Linked DNA regions of Rattus norvegicus. The protein of the gene in region 2 purifies or fractionates together with the protein of the main gene of each other region. This does not show direct contact. Links are inferred from orthologs where the notes say so. Each region holds a gene or a part of one and is shown on either strand. Other genes may lie near its edges.

Evidence for each region. Proteins that work in one complex are often made in the same cells at the same time.
Region 1: the proteins of Snrpd1 (region 2) and Sf3b3 fractionate together in Homo sapiens (co-fractionation; 4 studies listed by BioGRID and IntAct, with this or other methods). This does not show direct contact. The link is inferred for Rattus norvegicus from reciprocal best matches to the Homo sapiens genes SNRPD1 and SF3B3.
Region 3: the proteins of Snrpd1 (region 2) and Sf3a1 fractionate together in Homo sapiens (co-fractionation; 4 studies listed by BioGRID and IntAct, with this or other methods). This does not show direct contact. The link is inferred for Rattus norvegicus from reciprocal best matches to the Homo sapiens genes SNRPD1 and SF3A1.

The regions. Positions count from the first base shown.
Region 1 is NC_086037.1:55,719,614-55,723,127, forward strand, and holds part of Sf3b3 (splicing factor 3B subunit 3), read right to left. Parts: intron 3,314-3,514; coding exon 3,201-3,313; intron 2,335-3,200; exon of another isoform or gene 2,246-2,334; intron 2,056-2,245; coding exon 1,918-2,055; intron 1,122-1,917; coding exon 1,018-1,121; intron 1-1,017. UniProt on the Homo sapiens protein: Component of the 17S U2 SnRNP complex of the spliceosome, a large ribonucleoprotein complex that removes introns from transcribed pre-mRNAs.
Region 2 is NC_086036.1:1,972,674-1,976,187, reverse strand, and holds part of Snrpd1 (small nuclear ribonucleoprotein Sm D1), read right to left. Parts: intron 478-3,514; coding exon 286-477; intron 1-285. UniProt on the Homo sapiens protein: Plays a role in pre-mRNA splicing as a core component of the spliceosomal U1, U2, U4 and U5 small nuclear ribonucleoproteins (snRNPs), the building blocks of the spliceosome.
Region 3 is NC_086032.1:83,253,536-83,257,820, reverse strand, and holds the start of Sf3a1 (splicing factor 3A subunit 1), read right to left. Parts: upstream 2,809-4,285; 5' UTR 2,719-2,808; coding exon 2,656-2,718; intron 2,134-2,655; coding exon 2,012-2,133; intron 1-2,011. Other genes in the region: Ccdc157 (coiled-coil domain-containing protein 157), read left to right, coding at 2,809-3,045. UniProt on the Homo sapiens protein: Component of the 17S U2 SnRNP complex of the spliceosome, a large ribonucleoprotein complex that removes introns from transcribed pre-mRNAs.

The sequences.
Region 1 (3,514 bases), on a different chromosome or scaffold from region 2:
TTGTGGATACTGGTCTTAAACTGCTCATTAGAGTTCAGATTTCTTCTGTATGGCAATGAAAATCCATCAAAGTTTGTTAATACTGAGATACAGGAAATAATGTCACTAACATAATAACTACATTATCAATAAGGTAATGTCCCATCTTGTTAAGTTTGACTCTTTATAAAGACTGGATTTTGCAGGAAAGCAAAGCAAATTAAATTTAGACTGGAAACAGTGTAGTAAGAAAAACTAGAACTTGTACACTTGACTAAAAGGAGTAGAGGAAAAATAAACTCAGACTCCACAAGTCACTAGAAGAGGCCCATTAAACAAAAATATTGAGCAAGGCACACTGGCGATACAGGCAGGCAATGTGGATACGAAGAAACTTCAACTGTAGGTCTGTACAAGAGAGCACATGTAGAAAAAAATCTCTCTGGCTTTACTTTTCGTTAGAAAATCACCTCACTATGCAGCCCAAGCTGGTCCCATACTTGAGATCTTCCTGCCTCAGCCCATACTTACAGACATTCAGGATAGTAATGGAATTCACTACAGTAAAGGAAGCTAACAATGAAAATTAACACAAAAACGGGGTTGGAGGAAGGACTTGGGGTGGTATTTTAAAAGCACTTGCTGCTCTTGCTGAGGACCTGAGTTTGGTTCCCAGCATCCCTACCTTGACAGCTCACAAACACTGGAACTCCAGTTCTAGATGCCTCGCCTGACCTTCTACATATATGTGGGGCATGTACATGCACTCAGTATACATACATAGAAAATGTAATTTTAAACAACTCTAAAAACCCACAAAAAAGATAATGCAGTAGAAGAAAAGGGATAGGGAGAATGAATAAAAAGGGAAAACGAGAGCAACACTTCTGAAAAACCTCAACTATTCTATGAAAAGGTCCCCAACACCTCCTGTCTGCTAACTTTTACTATGTGTGGTAACCTAGGGGTTATAGTGGTAAGCTAAAATAAATAAATAAATGAATGAATAAATAAACAAATAAAAAAAGGATTACTTACTGATTTCCAAATTCTGATGCCACAAAAAGGAAGCCTGTTTTAAGCACACACATAGCAGCAGCAACAGGAACAGTATCAAAATACTTGAGGCGGATCTCAGTTACCTGGAACAGAAGGACGGTGTATAGGCAGGTGCAGCTTAGCCACAGAAGCCTGCTCTGTGCACCACAAGTGAACAAAGGACAGTGCAGCCAGCCTGAGGGGTTAAACATAGCTACTGCTTTTTCTGCTTCAATGTCAGTTACTTTGGACTGAGAATACACAGCAGAGAAAAACTAAACATCTTAAGTGGCTTTACAAGGTCAGATACTTGTTAGCCAGAATGAGAAAACCCAAATTCAAATTCAAACCAAAAGGTAACCACTTTCTAATGTATCTAAATTTCTAAATTTTTCCCTCTTTTACTCAAAGTAGATTCTGGTCTCACACCATACATCCCAACCAGTTTCCCCTCCTTCACTTCTCCCGGCTTTTCCCAGCCCATCTCCCCCAGATTCACCCCCCTCCAGTTCCTCTTCTGAAAAGGAAGACCTCCTTCTGACTTGTTGAGAATCAGTTGCACTTGCTCCCTATCTTGGTGCAGGGAAAAGTTATGAAGTATAGATGTTAAGCAGCTTTGAGAGCCAGGTAGTGGTGGCACACACTTTAACCCCAGCACTCAAGAGGCAGGGACAAGCACATTCTGAGTTCTAAGTGAGCCTAGTCTACAGAGCTATGACTGGCAAGGCAAATCCCATCTCAAAAAAGCAAAAACAGTAACAAAAAAAGTAAAACAGCTTTGTAAATCTTACATGCACAAACAGCAGGTACTTTAGACAAAGGTTTTAAATTATATTCAAATTAAAAATCAAGATAGACTACAGCAAATAGATACTCCCCCTCCATCCATGTTCTATTTACCATATCTTCATCTGTCTCCAAAGTGATCTTAAAGATATCTCCCTGCTCCGTTTGGGCCAAAAAGAAGAACATGGACTTGGTCTTATGGGTGGCAGAGCAAACAAAAATCATTCCTCTTTCAGGGTCATCCAGGTCATTCTGGCAAAACCAGAAACAGAGCCAACATCTTAGAAATAAGCAACTCAGTATTCTGGAATTCATCTTTTACAAAAAGGAACTCTACAGACTACTCAAGGACTAAGATGCAAACATTGCCCACCATAGCTGTTAACAACTAAAGCTTGCCCACCCCACCCCGTGACCAAGAAACTGCTAATATTCCACTCTGCAGCCTCATCAGATCAGCAAGGCAAAAATCATCTCCAGAGGAGAATGTCAGAGAAGAGACACGAATTAAATAGTCATCATTTCAGGCTGGACATAATAATTTAAAAACAAAAAGCACACTCATCCACACTGCCATGGAAACCATCCATCACCACCAGCCTGTGTAGTACCAAGTTCCCACTCCCCTACAAATAAGTCTAGTGCTTGGAGTTGTTAAATGTTTTCAAGATTTTAAAAAATATTTCTGCATACAAACTCATAAGTTTTATACCTTTTCACTGCTCCCAAACGAATACAAATTCCTGGCTTAGGAAATGTCTGATCAACAGGCCGATTTCAATGTTTTTTCACAAGATTAAATTTTATCGCTTAACCTATAAGGTTTGACCCAGAACCAATATTAAAAATATGTAAGTTGAGGGAGGAAAAATGTAAGAACTGACTCAGTAATAAGACTGGTACTGTATCCACATAATGAACAGACCAGAAAGGGAAGAATATTTACGATCTATAAAAAAAAAAAAATCCTAAGTCTGTACCCGCACAATGACATGACCTTAATAAAGTGATAACTTGCTTAATATGTAGAGTGCACAAAGCCCTGCACTCCAAAGTATTAATTAATAATTTCCCCTTTAAAACATACCCAGTTTTAGAAAAGCAACTTATCTTTTTACATAACCAAAACATGGCAACAGACAAATTTAAGAGACTAAGCTGGTGAGATGGTGCAGCAGGTAGTACGCTTGTCAACCTGAGTTCAAACGGAGTCCCTCATGATGGAAGGACAAACTGACTCCTGCAGCTTCTCCTCCGACCTCCATACACGAACCATGGCATACATGCACACAGAGTAATAAATAGAAGAGAGAGGAAGATACTATGGTGGATCATTAAGAGCAAACAAACAAGCTAATTCATTCCCTAGTCAGCTGTTGCTCTATGGTAGACTTTACCCGTCTCCTGGGAATTGGACATCGGATGTCTGGCTGGTCACCAAAGTTCTTGTAGGTGATATAATTCTCAGAGCAGATCAGCACTCCACTTGGACCATCTGACCCTCCAGGAACTGTGAGAGGGAAAAAGCTTAAATATTTTGCACTGCTTTGATTGTCAACTGTTCTCCTTCCCACCAATGATGCTAAAACCAAGTGCTTCTTTTGATGTCCGCCTCTAATCAAGTACTTGGAAAGCAGGGGCAAGAGGGTCAAAAGTCAAATGGTCTTCAGTTACAAAGTGAGTTTGAGGCTGGTCTGAGAGATCCTGTCTC
Region 2 (3,514 bases):
AAAAAAAATTCACAATGAATTTACAAGTATTTATCAAGCATCTAAACAAGTGGTAGAGGGAGAGGACAGGGAAGCCATGCAGCCAGCCCCCAAATCTAGACTCCATGGAAGAAAAGAACAGCAGAGAGGACTGGAGGGCTGGCTCTTCTCCACAGCAGCACCAGGAGCTCTGCGTAGCACATGTACTAAGACAAGCACACGATGTTCTGAGCGACAAGAGTACCATTGTTCACAAACATACTTTGAACAGTGAGTCACACTATATATAAACACCTTTACACTTACCAGCCTCTCTTTTCTTAGACTTCACTTTAGGTTCGACATCCACAAGTAGTGTATCTAGAGGTAAACTGTCTGGTAGAATAAAATACCGAATGTTATTGCCTCGAATACTCAATGTTTCCAACTGTACAGGCTCTCTGTTCTTCAGGGTCATTTTCACAGCTTTAAGGTGCGTATTCATGCTGACATCTACACCTAAAGGGGGGAAGCAGAACAATTACCAGCATGATAAGAAGGCAATCTACCTTGTGGAAATAACACCCTAGGGAGTTCTTTTTTTTTTTTTTTTGGTTCTTTTTTTCGGAGCTGGGGACCGAACCCAGGGCCTTGCACTTCCTAGGTAAGCGCTCTACCACTGAGCTAAATCCCCAGCCCCCACCCTAGGGAGTTCTTAACTGCTGTGTCACAGGTCAGTTCCTGTGACAACTGAATACACGCACAATGGGGGAAATGCCAAATACACGCACAGTGGGGGAAATGTCAAAAGAAATCAGTAATGTTCCCTTCACAACGACTTTTCCTAGCCATAATGCTTCTGTACAGAGCTGAGTGCACGTACAGAACTGAACGCACTGGTGGTGTGATTAAGTGACTCCTGTAATCTCATCATTCAAGAGGCTGAGGCACAAGGAATGCACGTGTTCAAGGAAAGCCTGGACAACAAAGAAAGAACCTATGTGCAGACAAAGGAGACGAGCTCAGCAAGCTATGAAGAGCCATGAGCCCACTACCTTCAGAACTCAATTCTTATCCCAGGATTGGATAGTGTTTGCAGTAAAATCCTCCCATTGTCCCCATAACTTCCTACCCTCTAGCATGCCACAGGTCTTTCTTCTTAAAGACCTATGGTATTTTTCCCATCACAGGTAATTTTCCCTATCACTAGGAACTCTTCCCCCACTTTCCTGAGACAAAGTCTATGTGCCCCAGCTGGTCTCATACTTGTAATTCTCCTGCCCAAGTCTCTCAAGTGCTTGCTCTACAGGTACTCACCATCATACGCAACTTAACACACCTATTTAGTTACTTACAATGACTTTTCAGGGGCCAGAGACACGACTCAATGGTAAGTGTGCAAGGCTCTTACAGAGAACCAAGTTTCTCTTGGAACTTGGAATCAGGAGGCTCAGAACTAATTGCCCGTAACTCCAGCTCCAGAGAGACCCAGTACCTCTGGCCTCCAAGGCCCCTGCACTCACATACATACAGAGTTCTAAAACAGTCTTAGGACAATGTATTAGTATGAGTATGGTTATATGGGAAGGCAAGTGTCTGTGCGCTATGGTGCACGTCTAGAGATCAGGAACCACAACAATCAGTGTGTGCTATGGTGCTATGGTCTAGAGATCAGGAACCACAAGATCAGTCCACTCTTTCGTCTGTGTAGATCCTGAGGCATGGACTTGGCTGTCAGGCTCGGCAGCAGATGCCTGTACCAAACAGCTGAGCTGACACTCCCCCTATCTTGTTTTCTGAGACGGAGTCTCTCAGAACTTGAATTACAGGACTAGAAGTACCCAGCTTTGGGGAGCTGGGGTCTGAACTCAGGCTCTCAAGCTTGTATAGTGAGCACTTCCCAACTAGATCATTTGTCTGGGTCCTTGTTATGTCTTTCTAAGTGGAAAGGATTTGTTTTTGTGGTGCCATGGACTGAATCCAGGACCTCAAGCATTCTAGGCAACTGCTCTATCACCTTGTAATACGCCCTTAACTGAGCCTGTCTGTATATTTGTTTTTTTCTGTTAGACAGGCTGTTACTATGTAGACCAGAGTTGCCTCAAACTAAGGGTTCCGCTCCAGCCTTCTAAGTATTGGCATTACAAGTATGAGCCAATGCCAGGCTCACCTTACTGCTCTTTTCTCTAAAAATTCACTACTACAAATCCTTTCTTTGCTAGGCAGGAGTGAAGCAGCAGAGGTAGGTCAATCTTACCGAGTCAAGGCCATCCTGCTCTACAAACCATGTTCCAGGACAAACAGCTATACTGAAAATCTGTAACAAACAAACAGAACCCCCCCCCCAAAAAAAAACACCCAATAACAAATGCTTTCTTCTTTTTCTCCGAAGAAGGAAGTTCTCTTCTTTCCTAGATAGTCTTAATACATTCCATCTCCTCTATATGCTTATGTGTATACATTCATATAAGATACAGAAACGTATGTTAGTGGTTTGTTTTGCTTTTGTATTACAGTTTTCATTGTTAGATTTTGACAAGAAAAGGGGGGGGCGCAAACATGCCACTCTGGGGTTCGGGAATATAGCTCAGCTGGTAGTATACTTTCTTAGCATACATGAAGCCCTGGTTCCAATCCCTATTACTAAATAAAGAGGTGTGGTGGGCATGTCTGTAATACCAGCAGCCAAGAGCTAGAGGCACAAAACCAGAAGGCATCTTCAAATATACACAGTGAGTTTGAGGTACATTCTAGAATACATAAACCCTACATCTAAATAAGGAGAACGAGGGAGGAGGAGGAGGAAGAAAGAGGAGGAGAGGACAAGATCTTTCCCAATGCTGTTCTACAGAAAACAGACCAAATCCATCCTCAAGAAACTTTAAGGAGGGCAGCAACTGTATACGTCCTTAGATATGCAGACTGCGCACATCTAGAAACATAAACAGGCAGCTCCATTCACAATTAGCATTGAAAACTCCTAGAAAAGCCACAAAATGCCATCCCATTTTCTCCTGGTTTACTAAAACATTGGACCTACCTATTAAAAACTTAGACATCTACAAGCTCAGTATTTTAGAGAATAGAAACACATGTTAAGATACTATTTTTCCCCCTTCAATAACCACTTAAAAGAAAGTTTTAGGAGAAAATAATAAAGGATGAACAATGATAAAAATCAGTTCATATACACAGAAATACCATAGTAAAATATCATATATAATTAACATAGGCCAACAACAACTTACAGTCAAACATGAAACACAAAAGCACAAGTCTCAGATGTGTTTTGGAGGAAGCAACATTCTATGCAGAACACATGCAAGCAAAAGGTACACAAGGCAAGAAAACAGGAGCAGCACCAGCAATTTGGTTTAGTTGTAGTGCAAGAATGTAAGAGGAGGGGGTTGGGGATTTAGCTCAGTGTTAGAGCGCTTGCCTAGCAAGCGCAAGGCCCTGGGTTCAGTCCCCAGCTCCGAGAAAAAAAAAAAAAAAAAAAAAGAATGTAAGAGGAGTCAGGCTGGAGAGAGGGCTCAGCAGGTAAGAGCACTGGCTG
Region 3 (4,285 bases), on a different chromosome or scaffold from region 2:
CTCTGTGTGCACGAGTGCATATTAAAGGGCATGCATGCAGGTATTCAGACTCTGTAGCTGTGAGTTACCTGACATGGGTCCTGGGAGCCAAACTCAGGTCCTATGTAGGAGCAGAAAGTGGTCTTAACTTCTGAGCCACTTCTCCAGCTCCCATTTCCCTTCATTAAAATAGAGCCCACCATGTAGCCAGGCTAGTCTCTCTAACATTCCTTGCTAGCACCAAGATTACAGGTATGTATCACTATGTCCAGTAACAAGTATTTATTTTTAAGAGAACTTGGTCAGTCTTTTTTTTTTTTTTTTTGCTGTGGAGGCAAAGGATGACACAATTATCAGAAAGCTACTTGGGAAACTGAGATGTTTCTAAGTGCACACTTATGTGCACCCATACCCAGAGGCCAGATACTCATGTCCATTGTCTTCCCCAATCACTTCCTGCCTTATTTAGATTTATCTACCTATTTATTTTAGATAGGGTCCATGCATCCCTGGCTCATCAGAATGCTGTGTAGACTAGGGTGGCCCGAAACGCACAGAGATCAACCTGCTCCTGCCTTCAGAATACATGAATACACTGGCCCCACCTTAGTTAATATGAAGCACAGCAATTTGCTGGCCACTGAGCTCCAGGAATCTGTCAGTCTCTATTCTCCAGTACTGAGGTTACCAGATGTAACCATTGCTCAATCTTGCTTTAACATGGGTATCTGTGGGTTATACACCATGGGATCCAAACTCAAGCTCTTGTTTACTCTTGTGACAGGAACTTGAATGAACTAAGCTGTCTCCCCAACCCCTGAAGCTTTCCATGTTCTCCTAATCACTATTGTTTCAGTTTTCTTCTAAAGAAACTATCTAAGAGGGAAAGGTAATGTTCAAACTCCTCGTACAGCTTCACTGACCAAGTGGAAACACTGGAAACAGTCTCAAAGAGAAGACAGCCTGGACACCCTGCACCCTCGCCATAGAAAGCATACAGCAGGAGGAAAAGGTAATTAGGAAATGTTTACAGTTTAGCATGCAAAGAGAATGGGGACATGACAGTACTTGTGTTATTACCGTATTTAAAAACGGGTGCCAAGGGCAAAGGACTAATGAACGGTGAACGGTGACAACAGCGGGCAGGAGTTGCCCTCACAGTAAGACTGCACTTATTCCTTATGCATTATTATTAGGAAAAGGGTTGCTGTGAAATACTAGCCAATCACACACAACACTCAATGCCCTATCTTAGGGCATCTTTTAAGTGAAAATCCAAGGTAATTAAAGCCTGTCCAGTGATGGGAAAATATATCAATCGGAATCTTTATTAGAGAGGTGCTTCACTTTATTAGGAAGTTTGGAACCAAACATTGCAGTCTGGTTCAAGAAAAGACAGAAATCCAGACTGCTGGTGAGATCACCTCATTTTTAAGTGTGGCAATAGGATTTTTCTTTTTTAAGGATTCTAAGGACAAACCAAACTCTGCAGACTGGATATCGATGCTGGTTGCCAAAAGAATACTCTCTCTCTATAAATGCCCTAAGTCAGGGGACGTGTTGACCGTTGGGAGTCAAGTGGTCCTCAGAAAATAGCATCCAAGGATGTAGAAGTGTGTGGGATGAAGAGGCTGAGAGAAATCCTGACCAGTTTTAACAGCTTGCTCTTAGCTCATCTGTAACCGATCATTTGAGTCTCTGTGGAAAGTAGCCCTTTCACAATGAGAAAAATCAACTCATTTCCTCAGGCCAGCAGCTCAAACACACAGCATACACACAGTATCAGTCACAAAGGTGCTACCAGGAATTCCTCAGATTTGTTTTGGAAGCAGAAATATACAGCTAGATGGGGCTTTCACTGTGATTACTATCATGGTATGTCAATGATACCAGTCCTGTCTATCGCCTACCTCACTGCTCTACTGTGGTTTTGGAAGCCTAAGCTAGAGCCTCTAAAACACCCCATGGTGCCCGATTCAAAAGCCCTTTATACTACAATTCCCCTGACCCACTGTGCAGCAGCAGCTGTTACCTGGCCACAAAACTGGCGGTCTTGTCGACGATATTCCTGACCTCTGGAGGAGGGTAAATAATCCCCACCACTGGCTTGGAAGGGGTGGAATCCTCCTTTGATGATGCTTCTTCTTCATTTGGCTGTGAAAACAGAAAAAGGGAGTAAGGTCTTCAAGTCCCTGGCTTGGATTAGGAGATCATAAAAACTACACCAGCCCTCAGCGTTTCTCCATGATACCACTGACAGGACTGTGTCCTGCAGACTGCAGACTCTCTTGGGTTAGCATCCAAGAAGCTAGCATTGGGAAGCAGTTAAAAACAAAGCAAGCTTTCTTAACCATACGGTATTTATACAACCATTCCTAATCTAGGGAAAAGAATGGCTTTCTTGGCTCTCCTCCTTAGAATGGAGGTTTCGTGGTTCAAATAAGCCCCCAGGGGAAGCCGAGGCTCAAGTCCGCAGGCTAGTTTTGAAAAGTCCGGTTTAGGGAAATCTTTTTGAGACCAGAAGGCAACGCGGCGCGCTGACTCCTGGGACTTGCAGTCCCACCAAGTCCTTCAGGGTGGCCTGTGCTTCCAGCAGAAGTGCCACAGCGCCCGCGCGGGAGTGGAGGAACGAGGCCTACAACAGGACTGCAGGCGGAGGAGCACGGGGCACGGTACCTGTTTGGGCTCAGTGACTACTGGCGGCGGCGGGGGTACCGCCTGCACGGGTCCGGCCTGCATGACTGCGACGCTCAGGGCTGCCAGTCCGCCTCGGTGTGGACAACCGGTACGGCGACAAGGTTAAGCTCACCACACGAAGTCTCCAACTCAATGGCAAGATGGCGACGACCCAGAGAAAAGCCGCGGAGGCACTTCCGGCCCCGCCCCCTCGCCGTGTCTCACTTCCAGCCCCGCCCCGCGTGCACGATGGCACGGTACGCCGTTGCTATGGCAGCGTCCTGGGCGCCCTGCTTTAGAGTTTCGAGGGATCCCTGGAGCCGCAGGCGCTCCGGAGGAAGTTCTGTGAGCTTGCCAGACACAGAGCTGAGGCTGCGACGCCGGAGACAGGTAAGCCATTCTACATCATTTGCTGAACTCCCCTCCCGACCCTGGCCGGTTCCTCTGTAACCCCAGCAACCCCCCTAACCCCTACACCCCGAACCCCTGCCTTCGTTTTGTTTTCTGTTTGGCCTGTCATTTTGAAGAATTCTTCTCCCATTAGACCCGTTGCCATAAAGCCCCACTTAACTACACCTTTAGACCTGTTTTTCGGTTCAGCATTACCTCCTCCTGATACCTCCTTGCAGAGCCCAGGACATGGTGCTAACATTTTTTAGTCTCAGGAGACAAAGCTATACAGATCTCTGAGTTCAAGGTCAATCTACTGAGCAAATTGCAGGACAGTCAAGGGTAGGCAGTGAGGGAGTTGAAAAACAGAAAGCTGGTAATAGAATAAAGGGCGGCCAGCCCCAGCAGGCAGCAGAATTCAACAGCTTTACCACATGGCCTTAACTTTAGAGTCAAGAATAGAAGGGGTTACTGGGACAATTGATGCTTCTTATCTGGAGCTAAGAAATTAGTAGGGATTAAGAAGAGACCAGAATCACTGAGGTGAAATCTTCTGGGAAGTGTTTTCTGAGAGCACAAAGAAGCTGTACTTAATAATGTGTAAGAGTCATCCAGGGTACTACTGGTTTTGAAGACGTGAAGGGGTCATGAAGAGCAGCTGAGGCTTGGCACTGTGAGAGCCAAGGAAGGCCATTGGTGAAGATGCAGTTACAGTTGATGGCCCAGGACTGAGGAAGTCATCCAAAGTAGTTGAGGCTTGAGACCATGAGGAGAGCCTATGAGAGGCTATTGGTGAAGCCTAGTTGCTATGGAAGACTCCAGTATATTGGAGATGCCAGTACCATGGGCTGGTCACCAGGAACAGCAGCAGCAGGGGAGTGGAGTCAACCAGAGCCTAGAGTGCTACGGAGGGCAGAGCTGGAGAGGTGACCCGAGCCCTTTGGAGGAGCCCAGAAGATGTTCTGTGGACCCCATACATTGGAATAAGAAGCTGTAAAGTTGAAGTTGCCTTGGAGACCCCAAGCTGTTAGAGATGCCAGAGTCCTTTTCTCAGTTACCTGCTGAGAAAAGCTGCTAACAGTGGAACCAGCCCAAGAGAATGAAGTGTGCTGCCATTGAGGGCCACATGGGCCAACAGCACTCAACAAGGGTGAAAGGAGCTAGAGATCTGAAGGATGCTCTGGCATTGGACCTGGAGACATGGGTTTTGGAGTTTGCCCAACTGGTTTTCTATCTTGCT